Elephas maximus indicus: one gene and its partner. The protein of the gene in region 2 binds, or shares a complex with, the protein of the main gene of each other region. Links are inferred from orthologs where the notes say so. Each region holds a gene or a part of one and is shown on either strand. Other genes may lie near its edges. The genes, in order: BRK1 and CYFIP2.

Region 1 (12,623 bases), on a different chromosome or scaffold from region 2:
GTTTGTTTGCTTCCATGGTATTCTTTCTCATTCATCCATTTAATTGGTACTCTTCACTGCTGTTTTAAACAGCTTTATTGATATAATTTGCATACCATAAAGTTCATTTGCTTAGAGCATACAATTCAATGTTTTTTAGTATATTTACAGAATTGTGCAACCATCACCAGAATCTAATATTTGAACAGTTTCACCATCCCAAATGAAACCTGTACCCATTAGCAGTTACTCCCCATTCCCCTCAGCCCCTGGCAATCACTAACCTACTTTCCGTCTCTATGAATTTGCCTATTCTAGACGGTCTTCCTTATTCTTTTTCATCTTTTTTAAAAACTGCTAGTGCTGCTTCCTCTAATTCCCGGGTCTAACTTGAGTATGAACACCTCAGCAGTCCTCTTTTCCTGGGTACACTGCCATTTGCTGTCAGGCTTGTCCAACAGGACCAAATCCCTTTGAGTTTTTAGAAGCTCAAAGGCACATCACGTACGCTACTCAGGAAGAGTACAAATGTCATCACTGACAACCTGTGATTTCCTAAAAAGAACCATGCCAAAGCTATGTGTGCACATGTGTGGCAGGGAGAGGATTCCTTCTTGGCTATCTGTTCTGTTATAGCTCTATCAATCTGGTAATGAATCAGAATCCAAGAACAACACTGTGCTACTGGCCTGCGTGTACAAGCATAGTTGAGAAATATAAAATGTTCAACTCCAGAAACCTTAATCATATTTCAGATCCCATTAAGTACATACTGGTTCAAATAAACACCGGGAAAGCATTAGGCAGCTGGACAAATCTGAAATCAGAGTATAGTTATGTGTACATTATCAACAGATTTCAACTGAAAATGCCAGTCCTTGCCAGGGTACTTGATGGTGTACATACGTCATCATGGCTGACAGATGCCAGATGGCTCCATCTCTTCTCTTACTGCACATAACCCTGGCACTACAAAAATTAACACTGCCTTTCTAATTGTTTTTGCAGCTAACTGTTATTTCTCCAGTAAGATTCTAAATTTCTTAGGAATGGGTACTGTGTTCATTTATTCTTATTTATTCCTTTCTCACATCGTCATCTGACACACAGCTGGGGTCACAAGTGGCATACTCTGTTGGCCAAATATAAAAACTGAGATTTTTAAATAGCCACATTCTCTATTTTTTTTATACTTTTCTGCACTTTCTACATCTTACACAATGAGCATGTATTAGCTTTATAATCAGGAAAAAAAAGTATAAAAGTAAAAAGCTATAATCTGTGGCAATCTATTTTTAGAAACTTCACCAAGTCCAAAGTACAGAACAGGCCTAGTGTTATAGTGTGTTGTTGCCGCATTACAATCTGCGTGTCCTCAGGTTTAGTTGGTCCTACAACTCTGAAAGAGAAAACCACAAAGAGACTGAGACTTTACTCTCACCAGCTCCAGCCACAAGAAAAGAGCTATTCAGAAAGTCATCAGCATACACGCATGCCTGTAATGGACTGAATTGTGTCCCCCCAAAATATGGGTCAACTTGGTTAGGCCATGCGTAGTTGTCCTCTATTTTGTGATTTTCCTTTGTGTTATCGATCATAATCTCTGCCTGTGGTTAAAAGGATTACTCAGGTCACCTCCCTGATCCAAAAGGGAGTTTTCCTGGGGTGTGGCCTGCACCACCTTTTGTCTCTCTTAAAAAATAAACAATACCACCTGTGAAGAATGTGCTCCCTTAAATATTCAATGTTGACCAAACAGTCAACAAAAAAACCAAACCCATTTTTGCCAAGTAGGTTCCAATTCACAGTGACCCTATAGGACAAAGTAGAACTGACCGATAGTTTCCAAGGAGTACCTGGTGGATTCAAACTGCTGACCTTTTGGTTAGCAGCCATAGCTCTTAAACTCTACACCACCAGGGCTTTCAAACAGTCAACATTTACCCTAAAACAAAGGTGAGACGGTAGGGAGGGGCAGGAAAGCTAGACTAATGGAAGCAGAACTAACAGAATGGAAACAATGAGAATGCTGATACACTAAAATATGTAACCAATGTTACGGAATTATCTGTATTAAAATCATTAAATGGCAACCCAATTTGCTGTGTAAACTTTCACCTGAAACACAATATTAAAAAAAAAAAAAAAGGGAAAGTCATTATCTTGGAAAAGCAGTAAAGTATTAAAAAAAAAAGTAAGTTCCCTCTCTAAAGCACACGGCCTCTGCAGACTCTGTGTGGTCAGGGTGAGGACTGCAAGATTGCTGTCATTTTGAAAGTGCTCTAGATGCTCCCGCAAATAAACTCCTATTGAATTTTTACACCATCAAATCATATTATGAATATGAAACAAGTCCTGCAGATTAATATCAGAACTGACGAGTCATGCTAAGGGCTTAGAAAGGGAAAACGTATCCCACACACTATCATCCTGAATCATCCAATGCCAAGACGATGTACTCAGGTCTGTCCTCATGATTCACCGTTTCTCAGCCTTTGTCTAAACTCGTGTGGTGATATTATCCCTCTTCAGGAACTTGCTTCAGTTGCACCTAATTTCTGAATCAAATTGCTTTCATTTTTAATCTTGCTTCCTAACTGTTCTTCCTTACAAGTAATTAATTGTGCTTTCTTTTTTTTTTTCTTTAAAAGGACTTAGTTCATTTTCTAAAATCTTCAAAAACCTAGAAATTATTCCAAACACTAGGCTATTATCATTACTTTAAGGGAAGATAATGACCCAAATAAGGGAGGCCATTTCTCTGGCCCCTAAGAATTAGAATTCTGGGTGTCTATTTCCTCAGTTAAGGAGCCCCAGTGGCACAGTGATTAGAACGCTCAGGGGCTAACCAAAAGGTGAATGGTTGAAACCCACCAGCCACTTTGTAGGAGAAAGATGAGGCAGTTTGCTTCCTTAAAGATTTACAGCCTTGGAAACCCTACGGGGCAGTTCTACTTTGTCCTATAGGGTTTCTATGAGTTGGCGTCAACTCCACAGCAATGGGTTTGGTTTTTTTAGTTTCTCAGTTTAGAACTTGTTGGAAATACCAAATTAAAAATTTTAAAAAGTCTTTATTCTCTAACTGATCACAAAATGTGACTCACACACATATGATTTAAAATCTCGGAGCAAGTATTTTCTTGCATATAAGAAAAGGGACATTTCTCCTATGCAAATCCTAAGCCCAAACCTTCAATTTTCAATCAGTCCCAAAACTTGCCCACTATAAATTTAGTAGGTGTGACAGTCCAAGAAAACTTCTCCCAAAGATAAATATACGTGAACCAAATGTCCATGAATACAATTCTAAGCTCAGAAATGAAGTTATGACACTAGCAGGGATCCAGTTTTCTGGGACTGGGATCACTATGAGTCAGAACCGATTTGACAGCCTGAGGTTTTGTTTTTTTGTTTGTTTTTGGGGGGTGTTAGAATCACTTTTAAATTTTTAAAGCAGTTTCAGCTTGACTTGTTTAGATACTTACTGAACAGACATTCTTAATACTTTGCTTGGATATTCTGTGTATATGTCAAAAATTAACTCCTACCAAATTAAGTCTTTTAATTCTGCTTTTTAAAACAAAGTTAAAACTTTCAGTGTCAGTGATTTTTCTCACTATTTTCACTGCCTTTCCGGATTAAGTCAAAGTCTTAAAGCTGTGATCCTGCCATCATTATATCCTTCCCCTAGCACAAAAGATTTTGGTGTCTCTTGGCCCTTCCTCTAAAGGAATGTTATGAATAAAGAATACTATGAAGAAACTCCCCGCCCCCCTCCCCCCGCCCCCCCGCAAATATTTCAGCTCTCTAGGAAAGCAGGAGAAACCAATAATTAAGAACAAACACTGCGATAAAAAAATGCTGTTGCCTTCAAGTCGGTTTTGACTCTTAACGACGACCCTATAGGACAGGGTAGAACGCCCCACAGAGTTTCCAGCGACCGGCTGGTGGATTCAAACTGCTGACCTTTTGGTTAGCAGTCCAGCTCTTAACCACTGTGTCACCAGGGCTCCAACACTGACACAGTTCATACAGAACTTAAAAAAGGGGAAGTCCAGCCTATCTAGGTAGCAGAGTAAATGGGTCATTACTGCATTTTCAGTTCACTAAAACCAATTCATCTAACTCCTTTGAACTTGGGTCTTCTGATTCCAAACCCACTTATCTTTTCCACCAAACATACTCCTTCACTTATATTCCTCGAAAATAATAAATAAAATTTCAGGGTACATGAAAGCTATGCTTTTCTTGACTATCATTCCCTATTTACAACCTCGATAGCACTTTGCGTCTGAGTATGTATCAATGACATACACATTTATACTATGTGCTCAGTAATACTACCTTTACTCCCATTCCCCAGTGGGTGAGAAAATCCACCACACTAAGGAACATCAAGATTATAGTCCTACATACCTTGTAACTATTTTAACATAAAAACAATGTTCTGCTTTGTTCTGAAGTTATCATTATTTCATCTTCAAGATTAAAAATTTCTTGAAGGCAGAAGTGATTCCTATTCTGGGTCCCCCACAGTGCCTGAGATAGATTTTGTTTGCACTGAGTCCTGTTTCTCCTGCTGATGCCTTCTGACACGACTTTTTTTTTGGAGAGGGGGGCGGGGTGCGCTTTAAGTGAAAGTTTACAATTCAATTCAGTTTCTCATACAAAGATCTATACACACATTGTTATGTGACCCTAGCTAGCTGCATTCCCTACAATGTGACAGCAACTCCTTCTCTCCACCCTGTATTTCCCATGTCCATTTAACCAGCTGCTGTCCCCCTCTGCCTTCTCACCTCACCTCCAGACCGAGCTGCCCATTTAGTCTCACGTATCTACTTGAGCTAAGAAGCACACTCTTCACCAATATCATTTTATGTCTTATAGTCCAGTCTAATCTTTGTCTGGCTAAGAGTTGGCTTTGGGGAAGGTTTTAGTTCTAGGCTAAGACAGAGTCCAGAAGCCATGTCTTCTGGTGTCCCTCCAGTCTCAGTCAGACCATCAAGTCTGGTCTTTTTACTAGAATTTGAGTTCTGCACTCCACTTTTCTCCTGCTCCATCAGGGACTCTGCTGTGTTCCCTTCAGGGCGGTCACTGGTGGTAGCCGGGCACCATCTAGTTATTCCAGTCTCAGGCTGATGGAGTATCTGGTTTATATGGCCGTTGCTGTCTCTTGGGCTCATATTTTCCTTGTGTCTTTCGTGTTCTTCATTCTCTTTTGTTCCAGGTGGGCTGGGACCAACCGATGCATCTTAGATGGCCACTCGCAAGTTTTAAGGACCCAGACGTCACTTACTGAAGTGGGATGCAGAACGTTTTAATAAACTTTGTTATGTCAATTGACCTAGATGTCCCCTGAAACCATGGTCCCAAATCCCCACCCCTGCTACTCTGTCCCTTTAAGTGTTTCGCTGTATTCAGGAAATTTCTTAGCTTTTGGTATAGTCCAGTTATGCTGACTTCCCTTGTATTGTGTTGTCCTTCCCTTCACCTAAAATAATTCTTGTGTACTATCTAGTTAGTGAATACCCCTCTCCCTCCCTCCCCACCCTCCGAACCATCAAAGAATGTTTTCTTCTGTATTTAAATCTACTCTTGAGTTCTTATAATAGTGGTCCGACACAACTCTTGCTGTCACTTTTACACTCCTTAGGACTCATCAGCCATTTAGGTAGGAAAAAATTCATTTTAAAATCTTTTACCTATGCATCAGTTTTCCCTATGTAATCTTAATTCCTTAATTTTCTGAATTAATGGAACCAACGCACACTAGCTGGAAAAAGAAAACTACACATTATTCACACACCTTACGTAATTAGGAAGTCTACCCAGTGCCAAATTCTCTGAAAAGAAACACTTGGAGAACATGGGGTAGGATTCTCTGTTACAGGCCTGGTCTCCAAAGGACACTGAACATGCAGAAATAATTTAAGACTGTCACAAGCTGAACGTTCCTGGGAAAGATTCTGGTAACGCTGTTTCTATGCTCAAGACACCTCCCTATGTTAGTTCTGAGGAGCAGGAAAGAAGCAAAAAGAACACCTACTGGATACTAGCAATACAGAAGTTGCCAACAAATGAGTCGGAATAGACTTGATGGCAACTAACAGCACAATCTGGACCTTACCTACCTCACTGACCTCATCTCCTACCACACTCAGCACAGTATACACGGGAGACAGGAAGGAATGGACAGAAGAGCTGCTGAAAGATTTGCAGAAAAGACATATAGGGAGCTAAGGGGTTCCAACTTGATTCTCAAAGGGGGGGGCCATCAAGAGTTTTTAAACAGGGCAGTGACAGGGTCATGGCTGCGTTTGGGAGGTGCACTCTGAGTGCCAAGTGGGGACTGGATAGGAAGCGGAGCCCATGGTGGCAGGACTAGTGAGAAGACAAGGCGCAGAGGGTGGATGGGGCTGCTTGATAGACGCGCCTGGGAAAAGGACTCCTTAATGGACCTAGGATGAAGGCAATAAGGCCGATGAGCTCAGCTTAAGGCAGAATAACCCCACAGAAACTGTCTAGAGGAACCTGTGGGTCACCGCCGAGAGGTGGAAGGAGGGGCCTGAAGGAGGAAGCGAAAAACAGCAGGAGCCGAGGGCACCCGGGAGAGGCCCGTCAAAGCTTTTCGGTGCCCCGGACAAACCGCCTAAGGCCTCCCTCCCCCCTGCCTCCCCCTGCTCGCCCGCTGACCGAACGAGTTGAGAAAGTCCGCGATTTTCTTGATGCTGCTGGTGATGACCTCAATGTACTCCCGGTTCGCCCAGTCCTGGTGAATCTCCCGCTGCACCGGATCCTCTTGTCCCGCCATGGCGGCCGCCTAAGGAAGAGCGCCTGCGCAGGCGCCCCGACCCTGCAGGCCGCCAGTGCGCCTGCGCCGCCAGCCCACGCCCATCCCTTGGGACTCAGGAACGCCACGAGAATTGTGGCGCGCCTGCGCAATGTCAGGCCTTCGCCTTCGTTTTCGCTCTTCTCCCACGGCCCTGCAAACAGATGCCCCAGCTCTGGCGGTGAGAATGGAGTGCGCACGCGCTGAGAGCCCGCTCCCGCCCCCGGTCACTAGCCGTTATGGTCGTTAGGGGGCGCGTGGGCTCAAGTCACGTCCTCCCTCAGCTGCTCCAAACTAGGGTCTTGCAGTCTGTTTCAGCATTAAGATGGGCACAACAGATTAAATCTCAGTAAAAGTCATTTAGAAAATGCCTTTAAACAACGCAACATGATGTTTTACCAGCATTTATCAAATGAGAGGCTTTTTTTTTTTTTTTAACGATACTACCCAGTAATGGAGAGGCTGTGATGAAATTGGTAGACTCGTAAACACACGATAAACTGGCACAATCTTTTCAGAAGGAATTTTTTTAATTGATAGCAAAAGCTGTTAAAAAAAAAAAAACATTTAGCTTAATCATTTCATTAGGAGACATTTAAAAAAAAATTTTAAACACAAGGTGCTCCTTGTAGCATAATCTATTTAAAAAAAAAAAAGAAAATAAAAAACTAAATCTCCAACAACTGGGGAATGGCTAAACAACGGTATAGCCACTTAAGGCAATATTATACAGTCATTTAAATGCTAATTATGAAGACTATGTCAACAAGATAACAAATTAAAAAAACACAAATTTTCCTTTACTTGAAACTATGTAAAAAATGTCTGCTTGAGAACAAGGAGGATGCACCAAAAATGTCAATATCTAATTTGTTAAAGTAGTAGAATTATGAGCAGTTTGGTTTTGGGGAATATTTACAATCTGGTTTGTGCAATAAATGCCTTTTATAAAAAATGCGAAAAGTCAGGTTACTTTTAGCAGTAGCTGAGAAAACCTTTCTAACAGTTCTTTATTCTGGTATAAGATTTTATAATCTATAAAGATGCTTGGCAGTTACTACCTCACTGGGCCCTCACAAACCCTGTGGGAGGAAGTCAGGAAGAGATTACATCACCACCCTTTTGCAGAAGAGAAAATTGAAGTTCAAGGTCACACAGCCTTTTAAGTCGTTGTCTTTAACCAGCTGATTCCAGACTCCATTATCTTTTTACTTTGCCACTCTGAAAACATGTCTGTCTGAGCTCTTCTACATATTCATGTCAGTGATTTCTAACATAAGTAGATATTGACAACTAGGGAGCCCTCCATATGTACGGAGTCTCCCTGTTTGAGGCCATACTTCGTAAGTGATGCTCTTGATGTAATTTTTTTTTTTTTAGTAATTTTTATTGTGCTTTAAGTGAAAGTTTACAAATCAAGTCAGTCTGTCACATATAAGCTTATATACACCTTACTCCATACTCCCACTTACTCTCCCCTAATGAGTCAGCCCGCTCCCTCCTTCCAGTCTCTTCTTTCGTGACGCTTTTGCCAGTTTCTAACCCTCTCTACCCTCCTGTCTCCCCTCCAGAGAGGAGATGCCAACACAGTCTCAAGTGTCCACCTGATACAAGTAGCTCACTCTTCGTCAGCATCTCTCTTCAACCCATTGTCCAGTCCCTTCCATGCCTGATGAGTTGTCTTCGAGAATGGATCCTGTCCTGGGCCTACAGAAGGTTTGGGGACCATGACTGCCGGAATTCCTCTAGTCTCAGTCAGACCATTAAGTCTGGTCTTTTTATGAGAATTTGGGGTCTGCATCCCACTGTTCTCCTGCTCCCTCAGGGGTTTTAATGTAATTTTTTGCTCACACATCACAGACCTACTTTTCAATTAAAGGGAAGCCATCTAGGTTTCAAATCCCAAGTCTACCAGAGATGAATCATTTCATCCCTTCATGTGTAATACAAGAATAGCAACATTTGACGGGTTAGGACTGTTGGGAGGATTATGGAGTAAGGATAAGTAAAACACTAAGAGTCATGCCTGGCACCTCACAAAGCGTGTACTCAAGATCAGTTTACATTTATGCAGAGCAGAAAATTAAATACACCTATATCTATCCAACAATTTTTAATCATACAATTTTGCTTTGGGGACTTGCGTTTAAAAAAAAAAACTGCAATAAAAACTATTATTGTTTTTTTTTAAATAATAGGTGTTGATTTTATTCAAGAGGAAAATAAAAATAAACTTCCTGGAAAAAAAGTTTGGTAATTCAAGAATCACTTGCATGCCTTCCAAGTCTCATCATTCTCTTCCCTTCTCTCCACTTGCCTCTCCTTCCACAGGCACAGTGGGCGGCTGACTGTGGGCCTCCTTCACAAGTCTCTCAAGACTATTTTCCAGACCAAGATCTCAACCTGATCCCATCCCCAGGCCTCTAGTCCCTCCACTCCACCTTCACCCAAACAAAAGGCGACAGCTCTTATGGTGCTGTGTTCTCCATCATGCAAAGTGCAAGGGCAATTTCTGGGTGTCTGATGGAAGAGCAGGTAGGCCATTAGTCAGTTCCTCCCACAAATCCTAACAGCACACTACAAACACTGTGATAGCCACGCACTGGCGTTAGGGAGTGAACTGGACAGACATCCTCTTCCCTCAGTGATCCAGGCTAGTTGTTTCGCATGATCCTTAGGAATTTGTCAAATCATTCCTTAAGGTGTCAGTTTTTCAGCATTGTAAGGATGGGAACAGAACTGTACTTTTCGAGATTTAACTTTCAGTCAGGAAATCAAGGAAAGATGTATCTTTTTTCTTGCTCCTTGACAGACCGAGCATTTATAAATTGTTTCCTTGCAATGTCATCATTTGAAAATACAGCAACAAAGGTCTTCAGGGCTCTAGATAATTAGCCCTGAACACTCACTGAGTTGGCTGTAATTAGAGACTTTTATTAACTACAGGTCCCAGGACGTTTATGCAAGTTCTTGATCACAGTCTGTGAAGTGGGTGTGTCAGTCCTCTATTACAGGGTTGGAATGGATGCTGAGGTTGAGGACTTGAGGAAAAGACACAGGTATGGCCGGGACACGGGGGAGAGAGGAAGGCCGGGTTCGAATCCACTCTCCTGAAGGACGAGTCCCAGAACCAGCTTTTCAAGGAGGGGTAGGGAGTCCAGCCCTGACGCTTCACAGCAGGGGCGCCTCGAGCCCCCCACCCCCCACCCCTGAGGCTCGGGCTTCTCCGCGATCCTGGGTCACAAAGGCGGTTGCCAGGCGCCCGGTGGAGAAAAGATGCGGCTCGGGAACAGCGGCAGCCACTCTGGAGCGTGTGGCCCGCGGAGTTCAGCAGGTGAGCCCCCGGCCCGGATGGTGGGACCGGGCCCGGGCTCCTACAGCCACCTCCGCCTCGGCCAGAGCCCTCTGGCCCCCGCCCCCGGGTAGGGACCCCGGGAGACAAGCCTTTTCTTCCGGCTGGAAGGGAGAGCCTCCCAACCCCGGGCAGCTCCAGCCCCTCCTGATCGCAGCTCACGAGGACCTCACTGCACTTTGGCGCTGCCTTCCTCTTTCCCAGGTGGGGAAATTCCAGGGGCTTTTTGGGAACTAGAGGAGGGTATGAAGGGGAAGCCTGTTTGCTCAGGCTGGAAGCTGCTACAGCAGCTTGAACAGACTTCTTAGATTCAACCCCTCTTGGAGTGGATGACAGCTTCCAGGTGGTGGTGGGGGTGAATCACCTTTATTAAAACCTTGTGTGAAGTGGTGGAAAGATGTGAAATCAGGAGCCCTCTCATCCCCTGCTCTTTCTGCTATACATCCAAGGTTTGACCTTTGACAAAACCTTTCACCTCTGGTTCTATTTTCTCATAAGAAATGAGTAAGGAAAAGGATCCTGGGATTATCTTTTTTTCATTGTATGCCCAGAGGAGTTGTACCAGAGTAGCCACGATCTTGGATATATGCTTAGGGCCATATCAAGCATCAGAAGACTTCCCTAGGCTGTCCCTTGGGTGTCAGTGTTTTTCATCCTAAGGAGCCAATATGTGAACACTTAGTTTGTGCAAAGGGCCTGCACAGATTATGAGAACCATACTAGTTGGAGGAAACCAACAAACTTCCATTATACTAACCATTCTCAGGGGTAGGTCTTTTGGTTTGAAATGTCACCAACAGTTCTTTAAAAACTTTTTTAAAGAATCAACAGTTTGTGTTACAAACTATGGTGGAGGTATCAACTTTTCACAGCACTTCCAGGGCAATTAATGGATGGGATGGGATCAGATCTGCTGCTGTTACCTTTTGTGGGAGAAGAGAGAAGGGACAGAGGAATACACTTGGTTGGAAAGAAAAGGGATCTGCTATGCCTCTTACATCTAGGTAGGTGCTCAAAACGTTAGCTTCTTCTGAATTCAGAAAAACCCTTTATATACTGTTACTTTTGAAGTATAATGATGGGAAATTCAAATTCTACTTGAAAAATTTTTGAGTTAGCAATATCTTCCCAGCCCTTAAAGAATTATCTTTAAGGTGAGGGGGGGTAGAAAATCAAGGTCTTAACCACATGGTGGGCCTCTCCTAGATGAGAAAAACACATACATAGAAAAACTAGAAAAATCTTTAAAATTTTTTAAAGACTGGCCTTTGGAAACTTTCTTTCCTCCCAGCCTGGTATAATTTCTCTGAGCCTGTATATAGGTAGGCCAGGGCTCTGAAAAAGAGCTACTCTCTGTGTCAGGAAACACTGAGGTTTTTAGGGCTAAAAAGAGACTGTCTCCATAACTAAGAACAGTGAAAGCTGGAATTCCTCAAAAGGGGAAGCATAAGAAGATCTCAAATTATAAGGTACATCCCTGGAGAGCTTATTTAAATGCCTATTGCTGAGCTCCCACCTGCAGAGTTTCTAGATTCTTTAAGTCTGAGGTGGAGCCCAATAATCTGCATATCGAACAAGTTCCCAGAGGATGCTGAAGCTGCTAGTCCAGGGATCATACTTTGAGAATGAGTGCTGTAAAGAGAAGTACATGGGATTTAGAGTTGTAAATATTTGGTAAGACATGGTCTTTCTGAGCTTGTAACCATAAATAATCTTTCATCCTGAAGTTCCGGCAGCCTCTGCTGCCTCAGAGGAGTGGACTCTGTCTTCAGCCATTACCACACAGAAGAGGTACTAAAGATGGACTGGGATAGTCCAATTCAGACAGATCTACTTCCTAACCTGTAAAATGGGTTAAACCTACCTTCGGAGCTTGTGATAGGGTTTAATAAGGTTTTAGCACACATAGCAGTTGCTAGATTCAACACTAGCTACCATCCCCTACTGCCTCTTATAGAATTTCTAATATACTCCAACACCTGTTGGAATCTGTTCACGGGAACTACAGAGTAAGTTTAAGTCATTAATGAGACGCAGATGTGAATTTGACCAGCCGTGCACCCATCATAAGCATGCCAGGGAAATTCCATGTTCTGATTCCTTTTCTTTAGGACTTTCAATGGCGGCATACCATCTCTGGTCACCATGGACCCCACTGGATGAGAGCTTCCAATGGCTGCGGCACACAACACCTACACCTTCTTCCAAACACCCCTTTAGGGCCTCCCCCTGCTTGCCACATACCCCTTCTGACCTTGAAGTGCAGCTGTGCTTTCAAGAGGTCACACTAGTCTTAGACAGCCCAATTCTGGAAACTGGAATGAGTCCCAAGTTACCCTGCCACACGTCAGAGCTCCGAACCATGAACAACAAGAAAGGGCTGGTCAGGAAGCCCCAGCCTGTCCGCCTCAGTGGAGTAGATTCTGTCTTTGGCAGGATCATCACGGCTCAGCCACCAAA
Region 2 (12,481 bases):
ACCTGACCTCCAGCGACTCTTCTCTCCAGAGTCTCTTTGCCACCCCTCGGTGCCATCACCCTCATTGAGGCCTTCACGTCTACAGTGTAGATAACTTTCGTTATCTCTTAATTGATTTACTCACTCCTATGAGTCAGAATCGACTCAGCAGCAATAGGTTAACAGGTCCTTACAGCTTATTCTACACATAACTAAAATATGAAACTTATTTTGAAAGCATTATACTATTCATGTTTACCCTATGAATAAAAAATTTCCATTGCTTTTGATGTTTTATTAAATGAATTGAAAGTCCTCCAAGCCCTGACCTTTATGTTGTTGTTGTTAGTCGCCATTGAGTTGACTTTAACTGTTATGGACTGAACTGTATCCCCCAAAGTATGTGTTGTAAATCCTACTATTCCTGTGGTTATAATCTCATTTGGGAATAGGGTTTTCTTTGTTATGCTACAGAGGCAGTATTAGTATAGGGTATGTCTTAAATCAATCTCTTTTGGGGTATAAAAGAGCAGATCAAGCAAGCAGCAACAAAGCACAGATGGGGAAAGATAGATGCCACGCTACATGAGATCTCCAAGGAACCAAGGAACAGAAGCTAAAAAGCGATAAGGGCCTTGCCCTAGACTCAAGAGAAAGCCTTCCCTTAGAGCCAGCACCCTGAATTTGAATTTCTAGCCTCCTACACCATGAGAAAACAAATTTCTGTTTGTTAAAGCCACCCATTTGTGGTTATTTCTGTTGTAACAGCACTAGAAACTCGGTCATCCATTCATGGAGACTCCTTGTGTGCAGAGTAGAACTGTACCCCATAGGGTTTTCAAAGATGTGGTCTTTCAGAAGATCTCCAGGCCTGTCTTCCAAGGTGCCTCTTTGTACTTTATAACTGCCAGCCTTTCCGATAATAGGCAACTCCTTAACCATTTGCATCACCCAGCCACCTGACACTTAATGTAATTTTCCATAAATACCACAGACAACTTCCCTATATGTTCTTTAGAATCCAAACCCAGATAGTCCCTGAAAATCCTTGCCTCCGTGCCTTGTTCATGCCAGTTCCTCCACCTGGAATGCCCTCCCTGACTTATAAAATTCTAACTACACGAGACAGCAGAGTGCACTGGAAAGATAAGAAGGCTGGGAATTGAAGGCTCTGTGTTCCAGGTCTAATCCTGTGATTTACTAGTTGTGGGATCATGGACAACTTGCTTATTAACTTCTCTAGGCCTCAGTTTTCTCATCCCTAAAATAGGTATAATGATCCCTTTTCAAGTCTCAGGGCTGTTATAAGGCACCAATGATAAGGCGTATTAAGAATACTTTATACATTCTGAAGTACCATATACACAAAGGTATCATTACCCTCTTATAAGGCCCTGCTCAAAAGCCACTTCCTTCAACAAGCTTTCTCTGACCCTCTCAAGTACTCTTTAAAAGCTTCACTTTGAAATTTTACCACGATATTTACCTTTAACTTTGTGCATTTTTATCAGCAAAGAATAGCCTAGAACAAAGGCTTTGTTGTCAGAAAGACCTGGATTTACATCTGTCACTTGTCAGCATAAGGACCCTGAGCAAGTTATTTAAGTTTTCTGGGTGTCAGTTTTCTCCATCTGTAAAATGGGCATTATAATAATATCTGTTGCACAGGGCTGATATGTGGATGAAATGATATAAATGCATTTAAAATATCTGCACAGAAGAAGTGTTCAATAAATGAAGCTTGTCTATTTCCCAATTGACTTTGTGAGAATCAAAACTCAGCCCTATTTTTCCATGTACACCTCTCCAGCATTTAGCACAGTCCAGGTGGCACAGTATTGAGTGAATAAGGAATGTTAAGATAAGGTTTTAGAATACAACCGATTATATATAAAAAATCACTGAACCATGGGCAGAGCCAATAAGAATTACACACTCTTTGAGTAAGGATCCTGGAATTCTTCAAATTTCTGTGTTGCATGAGAATAAAACCAACAAAGGCCCAAGAGGCAAGGCGACGATCCTTTGCAAATGGGTCAGACACTTGCACTACAAAAGAAAATAATAACCAGCCCCACTTGGGAGTGAAGAAGGCTACCAGCTTCCTCGAGTCAATACCTGTGTTATTTCAAAGGCACTGTCCCTGTTTTTGAGTGAGGAACCTTTTGTTTTGCTCAGGAAAAAATATCCCACACCTAGAAATTTATAAAGTATAAGAGAAGGCAAGATTTAATCATATGTTAACCCAAAAAGCTATAGAAGCTTGGAGAAGTGAGAAATCAATGCTGGCTTTAGAATAACAGGGGTTAAGTTAGGCCCTAAAGGTGAGTCAGATTTGCAAAGCCAGAAGAGAAAGCTGAATATGAGAGTGAACGGAGCCTGGCCTGAGCAGGGACTTAAGGAGCTGGGTCTGCTTGAGGCAGTGGGGGTTGGAATAGCTGAGCACCTGTCCTTTGTGTCTGAAGGCTGCCAAGGGCCCCTCCAGCCCTGGCAGGGAGCGTGTACCCATCTGCTGCAGAGACTTACCATGCTGGAATGGACTGTAGCCTGCTCAATGTACCTTGCGATGCCTGTGACAAATGCATTCCTGTCCTCAAAGTTCGTGTCAAAGTTGGCCTGTGGGAATCAGAGCAGAGGAGGATTTCATTGTTGGAAAACAGGTCCAAGAGACCTGAATGTCCAGGCAACAAGCTGCTGCCTACAAATGCCATAGCTCTCGGTAGAAATCTATCACAATATTACCCTCTCATCCTCCCCAACACCCCCCAAAACCCCACTCTGAATCACACTGGGCAGGAGTAGGTGGAAGACAGGCCCGCATCTGTTCCCATTGGCAGTTCGTCAGGTTTACTCGGTGGAGCCTCAGCAATAAAGGCTTAAACCATAAAAGCCCAAAGAGCTGGTAAAAGTTAAAATGTGCATTGTTTTGATCCAGTAGGTCCAGAAATACTCATCTGAGGGTGCAGATACATAAACGAAAGGATAATCACTGTGGAATTTTTGTGATAGAAAAAACTAGAAACAACCCAAACGTCCATTGAAAGAGAACAGCTAAATTAGTAAAAGTATATTCATACAATGGACTTAGAAGTGCTATGTGGCGGTTAAAAATAATGTGGTAACATTATTATTAGCAGTTGTATTGTCATAGAAAAATATCCCTAATACATTTTAAGTTAAAAAGAGCCAAATCGTACATCAATACATACAGTATGATTCCCTTTTGGTTAAAACAATAAAAAAAGTGTACACATATTGGCATAATACAGGGAAACTTTTATTTGTTAAAGTTACACTTTTCTGTACTGCTTGTAATACAAAAGCATAATTAAAAATTTAACTGATGTTAGCTGAGGCTTCAGGCATGTGTTTAATAACTACATTTAACCACTGGACGAAATTAAAAATAAGTCTTATATTTAGTCTCATTTAGTAGTCCAAGAACTTTCAAAAGGTCAAACACAGCCGAAAATGTCAAATTAACGAGTTCTCTATTAACGTGGCATACTCTCCTCGCACACCCCGACAAGGGGCTCTGTATAAGGCTAACTCCAGCCCCGCTGGTGCCCTTCCCCACCAAGCCCTGACGGGATCACCATCTGAGAAATTCCATTGTTGTTTATCACAAGCTTTCCTCTCGTAGGCAAAAGCAAACAACTGTGATCAGCCTCCCTGAGCCATTACCTGCTGTAGGCAGTTATAGAGTTCTTTTCACACACATGAAGGAGGAGTAATTACCCAGGCAGGCTCTGGGGATTTCTAAACTGCAATATTTAATTCATGAGGTCAGCGCTGCCAAAAGCTTGGTTGGTGCAGCGGCAAGAACAACCAGGAAGGTATTTGGGGTCAGTGCAGTTCAACAAGCCTTCCCTGGGGAAGGGAAATAGTCTTGGTGAACATTTACTAGCTAATCTATTCCTTACATTCAGCTCCAAGAAGGGTGCAAGGAACTCCATCAGCTCTCAACCTTTCACCTTCCAGAAGCAGACCTCCCCCTTCCCTCTGTCTGCAGGGCAAACCCTCTTAGGGGATCCCCAGAGTCCTGAGGCCCATGCACTATTTCCAGGCAGGGCCAGGAGAACTTACCTGGTACATGATGGAGGAGGGCGGAGGCTCGATGCATGGCTGCTGGTCAGGGAGGGGCAGCTCTTCCAGCAGGTCCACGTTGGACAGGGCATCTTCCAGGGTGACGTGAGTCGTCATGGCTGCAGCTTCCCTATTCCGCACTGAGGGAAAGGAAGAGAAGGGCAACAGAGGATTTCAGGGGGCTCTAAACATTTCATCCAACCCCACCCAGTGCAGACACTTTCCGTGGGATAAAGGGGGCTAACATGCATTAAGATCACTTCCACTTGCTACTTCTTCAGAACCATGCTCTAGGGATGGCTGGTGCCCTCAACCTGCACCTTATATATTTGAGGATTTCTTTACAGTTTATGAAGTCCCTAGGTGATGCAAATGGTTAACACACACAGCTGCTAACCGGAAGGTTGGAGGTTCAAGTCCACCCAGAGGCTCCTCAGAAGAAAAGCCCAGTGATCTAATTCTGAAAAGTCAGCCACTGAAAACCCTACAGAGCACAGTTCTATTCTGACACACATGGGTTCACCACGAGTCAGTCAACTTGACCGTAACTTTTTTTTTTTTACAGTTTACAGAGTACTTGTATGCCTATTATTTCAGCTTAGACTCAACAACCCGCTATGATCAACAGGGTGAGTGGGAAGTATTATATTCAAAGAACTCATAAAGAAACAAGGCTCAGAGAAGTTATGTAATACCCATACAACCACAGTAACCAAAGGTAAATGACCTAAAATAATGCCTGACACCAGGCCAGTCAGTCCCCGCCTTTTGCTCTTCATAAGGATATTTACCATTCCACTTTTAAATTAAAGCACAGCACAGATATTCACGATTTCAACAGCCAAGATAACCAACAACTTGAAACCAGAGCCTAGGCTTCATAGGCTAATTAAGCCACCAGTTGCAGCGGCGTCAATTTGGACTCCTGGTGACTCCATGTATGTGACGGGAGAACTGTGCCCCATAGGCTGATTTTTTTGAAAGTACATCACCAGGCATTGCTTCCAAGGTGCCTCTGGCTAGACCTGAACCTCCAACTTTTGGTTAGCAGCCAGTTTACACCATCCAAAGGCAAATAAGCCGGGACTAAAAGAATTCAGGCTCCAGCAAATCGACCTTGTTTGCAAAGATGGAAGAGCCCTCATCTCCCTTGGCCCTGGTATGTTTCGTGTGCCACATCAAACAAATAAGCCCTAAGGGGACATTTTTTGTCTTGGACCCAGCAGAGTGCAGCTGCTTTGAGAACAACATATTTGCCAGGCAGTGAAGATGCAGAGGATCTGAAAAGCACTGCTACCAACTCAAGCCAATTGCTATTTTAAGAACTCAGCACCCAGCGAACAGCTTATCCATCTTTGTTTTTTTTAAAAAAAACACACAGGAAACACTGATAGAAACTGATTGTGATTTAGGCCTTAGAACAAGTTGCCACAAGTTCCCCTAAATATGATATCCAACAAGTCACAGTCAAAGATAACGACACAATGAAATTAGAAATCAATAATGCAAAATGAAGCAAAAAAAAATCCATTCTGTTGAAAACTTATAAAACACTTCAAAGTTATTGATGGCTAAAGAGAAATTCAAATGGGAATTATAAAATATTTTGAACTGAAAGATAAAGCACTAATAAATATATTTATTGGAAAATAAGAAAAATGGAATTAAATGAACCTAATTTTCCATTCAAAAATCTAAAAAAAAAAGAGAATTAAAAAAAATCAACACAAGAAAATGAGAATACAGGAATAATTAGAAAAGCAGAAATAAGTGAAACAAAAAAAGCAAAGCAAAACCAAACAAACGGCAGTAGCGGTGGACACCAATGTTAAAAATTGAGTTTCTAAAAAAGATTAATTAAAAAGAAAAGCTAACCCTTTAGCATGTGTGAGTAAGGAGGAAACCGAGAAGACTCATCTTTCTATTGCGGGAACTCCTCCCTCCCATGCCAATCCCAGGGAGGCAGGAGACATACTTAAGGGTTGAAGTTTCTTGCTTGGATGTCAGCTTGCTTTGCTCAAAGGAAACGAGGCGTCAGGCCAGAGGAGGCATGAACAACTGACATGTGAACCTGGGCTGCAGAGAGTTGAAACAGCTGCAGAGTATACCAAGGTCGTGCTATCACTAAACTAATATTTTCTTTAGACCCAAGGTTGGGAGGGCAGATGGGGGCTGAACTAGGAAGAAAGACAACCTTCACCCACCGCTGAGCAGCTCACACACTTCACTGAGTTCTCAAACACATCTTCCTGTCACGTACTATGGTAATGGTGAAAGCCACGTGCAATGAGGGAATACCCAGCTCAGAAGTGACTTCCCCCTCTGCCCTCTGGGGCATCAGTCCTCACAGGGATGGTTTCAGGTCCCCATCTGCACCTCCCCCTCTTTCTTTGTTCTCTTCTCTCCTCAGAATCCTAAGTGTGACATTCAGCTCCACAGCAAAACCATTTGCCAATCCATAAAAGATTGCCTTCTTTCTTACATTAATGTTAAGTCCATTTTACAGAAGGGTTAATGATTTTACAGGGCATATTAATTCAAAGGAAACCCTATGGCATAGTGGTTAAGAGCTACAGCTGCTAACCAAAAGGCTGGCAGTTCAAATCCACCAGGCACTCCTTGGAAACTCTACGGGGCAGTTCCACTCTGTCCTATAGGGTCGCTATGAGTAGGAATCGACTCGACAGCAATCAGTAATGATTCAAATCTATAACCACCAAAGGCCTAATAATTTCCTTTATTAATTCAAATAATAATAAAACTATCATTTCTTCAGCCTTACTCTGTGTCAGACACCATGCCAAGCACTTGACGATTATAATCTCGCATGAAAACCCTATAAAAGGAGGTACTATTATTATCCCCATGTTACAGATGCGCAAACAGAAGTTCAGAATTTAAGTAATTTCACAAGGTCAAGTGCTGGCAAGTCGTGGAGCTGAAAATAGAACCAGGTTTGTTCAGCTCCAAAGTCTGTGGTCATATTCATGACCCTGTACTTCTGCCCCAATGTTCAGCCTCACTTGTGATACCAGACACATGACTGGAGGTTTATCCTGTATCAGGCTCTGTGCTAAGTGTTTGAAAGATGATACATTAGTGCTTCTCCTGTCTGCTTATGGCAGAGATGCACATGCTCAGCTTCTTCGCATTAAATGTCTGGGCTTCATCCATAGGACTCTGACGACTGTGTTTTTAAAAAGCTTCCAACCTTGTTCGTAATAAGAGAAATTCAGATTAAACTACACAGAGATACTGTTTCTCACCTACTGGACTAGCAAAAATCCAAAGTTTGACAACACACGTTGTTGCTGAGGCAGTGGAGAAACAGGCCGTCCTATACAATGCTAGTGGGGATGCAAAATGGCGCAGCCACTATGGAAGGAAATTTGGTAGTGCTGTGGATTGAACTGTGCCCCTCAAAAATGTGTGTCAACTTGGTTAGGCCATGATTTCCAGCATTGTGTGACTATCCGTCACTTTGTCATCTGATATGATCTTCCTATGTGTTGTAAATCCTACCTCTATGATGTTAATGAGGCAGGATTACAGGCAGTTATGTTAATGAGGCAGGAGTCAATCTATATGATTAGGTTGTATCTTGAGTCAATCTCTTTTGAGATAGAAAAGAGAAAGGTGAGCAGAGAGACAAGGGGACCTCATGACCACCAAGAAAGTAGTGCCAGGAGCACAGTCCATCCTTCAGACCTGTGCTCCCTGCACCGAGAGGCTCCTAGAGCAGCAGAAGATCGATGACAAGGACCTTTCTCCAGAGCCTACTGAGACAAAGTCTTTCACTGGAGCTGGAACCCTGAATTCGGACTTCTAGCCTCCTAGACTAAGAGAAAAATTTCCGTTTGTTAAAGCCACCCACTTGTGGTATTCCTGTTATAGCAGCATTAGATAACTAAGACAGGTAGTATCTAGCAAACTTTCATAAGCATTTTACCCTTTGATCAGCAATCCCACTTCTAGGAATCTATCCCAAAGACACACTGGCAAAAAGATGTCTGTACAAGGTAGTCACTGCAGCACCATCTGCAATGGCCACAGACTGGAAACCATGCACACATCTGGCTGAATAAACCATGGTACGTCTATACGATGAAGCAGCAGGCGGCACCGAAGACAGATGACACTCTACATGCAGTGATGCAGTAAGCTCTTGGACATGCAATGTATAGTATGCTACAATTTATATAAAAAGGAGGAGATGCACACACATATATCTTATATTTAAAAAGCAAACAATGAAAGGATAAACCATGTAATTTTAAAGATTGGTTACCTACGGTGAGAGGAGAAAGGAATGGGAAGGAATACAGTTAAAGGGACAAGGATAGAAACTAGAATTCTTTTAATATATCTGGTTTTATAGATTTGCCTTTAAAACCATGTAAATAAAATTTAAATTTACAAAGTAATCTCCAAAACAAATGAACCTAAAGGTCTATCTGGTTGGCGGCATAACCACACAGAAAGAAACCATCCCAAGTAATTTTAAAATTCATTAATTTGACTGCACATCCTTAGTGGGATATACTCTAGAGACGACAAAGGACTTGTAAATATATAGCTTAAGTTGTTTTCCGTAATTATATTGAGGTACTGTTGCTGTGAGAATATGAGGATTTATTGTCCGGTAAAGAAAATTAGTAATTATGGAATGTTCTAATTCTATCATTTCCTGGCATGAAGTACTGGCATCCTTGACACAGGATAAAGGAGATACGTATGTAAGACTGAGGAGACTAAGTAAAAACCTAATAGTCCTGAACATGGATTTGAAGCATTAGTAAGAACTTACACGTTTTAATAAAAAATAAAGAAGGCGTACGTTTTGTTATGTATCTTTCTACCATAAAACATAACAAAAACTCTGTCCACTGAAAAGGCCTAGAAACAATGCCCAACCCAAGAGCAATGGGCACCCTTGGTGCCCAGAATGTCATATCCAAATATCATTTGGAATCAGTGCTCACTGAAGAGTTGGCTTTCTCTAGGTCTGGGACAGAACATGTATAAAAGTCAAGAAAATCTTGTCATACCAGAAAGCAAAGAAGCTATTAATTTAAGACTACTAGGGTGAATCAAAGGGACCCTGAAGCCAACCTGGGGAGGCTTCCACTGACCAAAGATGGGACAATCTGAGCATCAACTAGCAAAATAACTACAATGGACTGAAACAGTATCAAATATGCTTAAATCTGTGTGATCATGACAATAAAAACTTGGTCTTTATTACTTGGTTACTGTTGGAAAATGCTTGTGAACCAATATTTAACTTGCCTTTCCTATACAAACAGTACCACTGGATAACCAAGTTGTAGAAGAAAGGGATGTTTCTCACCATAAAAGTATTTTTCTCCCCCCTCCAAGAAAATCCAATCCCCTGATGAACAAATGGATGTAGGCATCAATCATCAACAACTGCTAACATCACTAAATGAGAGACAATAACACATTGTCTCCTAATGGAAAAGTATATCACCACCTTATGAAGAAGTCTAGACCCAAAACAAAATACCTTAATCTATTCAGCCTTTGATACTTGTCGTAGTCATCTAGTACTGCTATAACAGAAATACCACAAGTGGATGGCTTTAACAAAGAGGAATTTATTTTCTCACAGTCTAGTAGGTTACAAGTCCAAATTCAGAGCGTCGGCTCCAGGGGAAGACTTTCTCTGTCGGCTCTGGGGAAAAGTCCTTGTCCTTAATCTTCCCCTGGTGGAGGAGCTTCTCAGGCACAGGAACCCTGGGTGGAGAGGAAGTGCTCTGCTCTTGGTGCTGTTTTCTTTGTGGTATGAGGTCCCCAACTCTCTGCTTGCTTCCCTTTCCTTTTATCTCCTGAGAGGTAAAAGGTGGTGCAGGCCACACCCCAGGGAAACTCCCTTTACCTTGGCTCAGGGAGGTGACCTTAGTACGGGTGGTATTACAATCCCACCTTAATCCTCATAACATAAAATGACAATCACAAAATGGAGGACAACCACACAATACTGGGAATCATGGCCTAACCAAGGTGATACACACATTTTTGGGGGGACATAATTCAATCCCCAACAATACCAGTTCACAGGAAACAAAGGACCACAGTGATACAATCAGTAAATTACAATCTATGGGAAACTACTAGACAAATGACTCAGTACCTTCAACGAATAAATTGCAAAAAACAAAAAACACAGAGCAAGAGAACAAGAGAGATGAAGGGAGAAGCTATAGGCTATAAGAGACTAAACAGACTGTCACAATGCGTTGACCTTATTTGGATTCTATCTCAAACAACCAACCATAAAAATAACGGAGTAAAAAAACTTAACAATGATCAGATATTTGATAATATTAAGGAAATGGCAGTGGCATCACTAGGGTTGGTGTCACTCAGTGCAGTAACTCATGGTGTCACACGTCCCCACCCCTGATCCCGCTCCCAGCCCAATGGATCTCCTGTCTTTAGTACTGTTTTTGGTTCTAATGTTTATTTTCTCCTTCTTTCCCTTGAATTAATAATTTATTCTCAAAAAAGGTATTGAATTAGGTTCATAAATACTAATCACCACAACACTGTTTTATAGCTAAAACACCAGAAAATTTGACAAAATCAGCGACTATAAAAATATCGGCAGCAACGAAAACAACAACGCGAGCCTGTGGGATGTGCAGATGAAACCACATAAGTCGAAGTGTCAGTGTAACTGGATAAAATGACATCTCTGACCACAGCACATTAGAAGGTTAAAAAGTAAATTAGCATAGAGTTTTAGCCTTGTAGGTATATCGATACACGTAAGCTGGGCTTGTGAAAAATGTTTTTGCTGTTATAGCTAACTACATGGATATTTTTATTAGAAAATTATAAATTTCTGCTGAATCACTGCATGAAAATTTTATAGACAGTCATTTTGGTGTCACTCCCTCTGACAGTGTCATCCACTGGGGGTCACATGGCCTGCATTCCGCCAGTGACGCAACTGGGAAAATAGTGTTACTTTTTAGGTGTATAAAGACACTGAGGTTTTATCTTCTAGAGCCAAACCAAAACTGTTTGCCATCAAGTAGAATCAGGTTCGTGGTGACCCCATGTGTTTCAGAGTAGAACAGTGCTCCACAGGGTTTTCAATGGCTGTGATCTTCTAGAAGCAGACCATCAGGGCTTCCTTTTGAGGCACCTCTGGGTAGATCTGAACTGGCAACCTTTCAGTTAGGAGCTGCCATGGATTGAATTGTGTCCCCCCAAAATATCTGTCAGCTTGGCTAGGTCATGATTTCCTTCTATGATTGTTTAATTGTCTACCATTTTAATCTTCTGATGTGATTTCCGTATGTGTTGTAAATCCTATCACTATAATGTAATAAGATGGATTAGCGGCAGTTACAGATGAGGTCTAAAAGATTAGTTAGTGTCTTGAGCCAATCTCTTTTGAGATATAAAAGAGAGACATGAGGACCTCATACCACGAAGGAAGCAGTGCCAGGAATAGAGTGCATCCTTTGGACCTGAGGTTCCTGTGCTGAGATGCTCCCAGACCAAGGGAAGACTGATGCATCACAAGGACCGTCCTCTAGAGCCAACAGAGAAAGCCTTCCTCTGGAGCTGACACCCTGAATTTGGACTTGTAGCCTGCCTGACTGTGAGAATAAACTTCTCTTTGTTAAAGCCATCCACTTGTGGAAGTTACAGCAGCACTAGATGACTAAGACAGAATTTGTTACCGAGAGAGTGGGTGCTGCTCTAACAGATACCTAAAATGTGGAGTGGTTTTGAAACTGTGAATGGATAGAGAAGCAGCAGTGACAGAGGGCCAGCAGCAGCAGAGAACTAGCAGCAGCAGAGAACCAGCAGCAGCAGAACCAGGGACCAGTGCCAGACAGCACTGGAGCCAACCTATGGAGCCAGAGGGCTGAGCACCTGTGTGCAGGAGGCTCCCTGGTGGAGTGAGGTGCCCTCCAGGCACTTATCGGTGGAGCTACAGAGCTTTGGAACACTTGCCCCAGCAGAGCAGATGCGGGGGTAAAGCCCAGATTCCCCAGAGGCCAAGAAACCAGGAAGCAGAAGCTGAAGAGACAACAGAGGAAGCCAAGCTGCCCCAGTCTCAAAAGGTATGGCCATGACCTCTGGGGCGTCAAAGGACGGAGCCATGGCCTCTGGTGTTTCTAAGGGTGAAGTTGCCACTCAGAGGAACGAGGAGAATAGTGCAGGTAAAGCCAAGGGAGCAGGGTTGCCATCCCTGTGGGCCTAGAAGGCAGAGCTGAAGCCCAGAGCTAAGGGGCCTCCACTCAGAATCCAGAGAGTGTGGCCAATACCTAAAGTCTGGAGGGTACAGCCATTGTGCAAATTGTCTCAGAGAACAGAGGATTATTTTCAAAGCCTTGAGGGCTGATGTAATGTGTTCTGCTAACTTGCTTGGTGC

What was found.
Region 1: CYFIP2 (region 2) and BRK1 share a complex: the UniProt entries of both Homo sapiens proteins name them as parts of the WAVE1 complex. The link is inferred for Elephas maximus indicus from reciprocal best matches to the Homo sapiens genes CYFIP2 and BRK1.

Annotation. Positions count from the first base shown.
Region 1 is NC_064838.1:34,997,292-35,009,914, reverse strand, and holds the start of BRK1 (protein BRICK1), read right to left. Parts: upstream 6,832-12,623; 5' UTR 6,794-6,831; coding exon 6,676-6,793; intron 1-6,675. Other genes in the region: FANCD2OS (FANCD2 opposite strand protein), read left to right, coding at 12,283-12,623. UniProt on the Homo sapiens protein: Involved in regulation of actin and microtubule organization. Part of a WAVE complex that activates the Arp2/3 complex. As component of the WAVE1 complex, required for BDNF-NTRK2 endocytic trafficking and signaling from early endosomes.
Region 2 is NC_064820.1:173,774,966-173,787,446, reverse strand, and holds the start of CYFIP2 (cytoplasmic FMR1-interacting protein 2), read right to left. Parts: upstream 6,266-12,481; 5' UTR 6,042-6,265; coding exon 6,041-6,041; intron 4,206-6,040; coding exon 4,066-4,205; intron 2,596-4,065; coding exon 2,506-2,595; intron 1-2,505. UniProt on the Homo sapiens protein: Involved in T-cell adhesion and p53/TP53-dependent induction of apoptosis. Does not bind RNA. As component of the WAVE1 complex, required for BDNF-NTRK2 endocytic trafficking and signaling from early endosomes.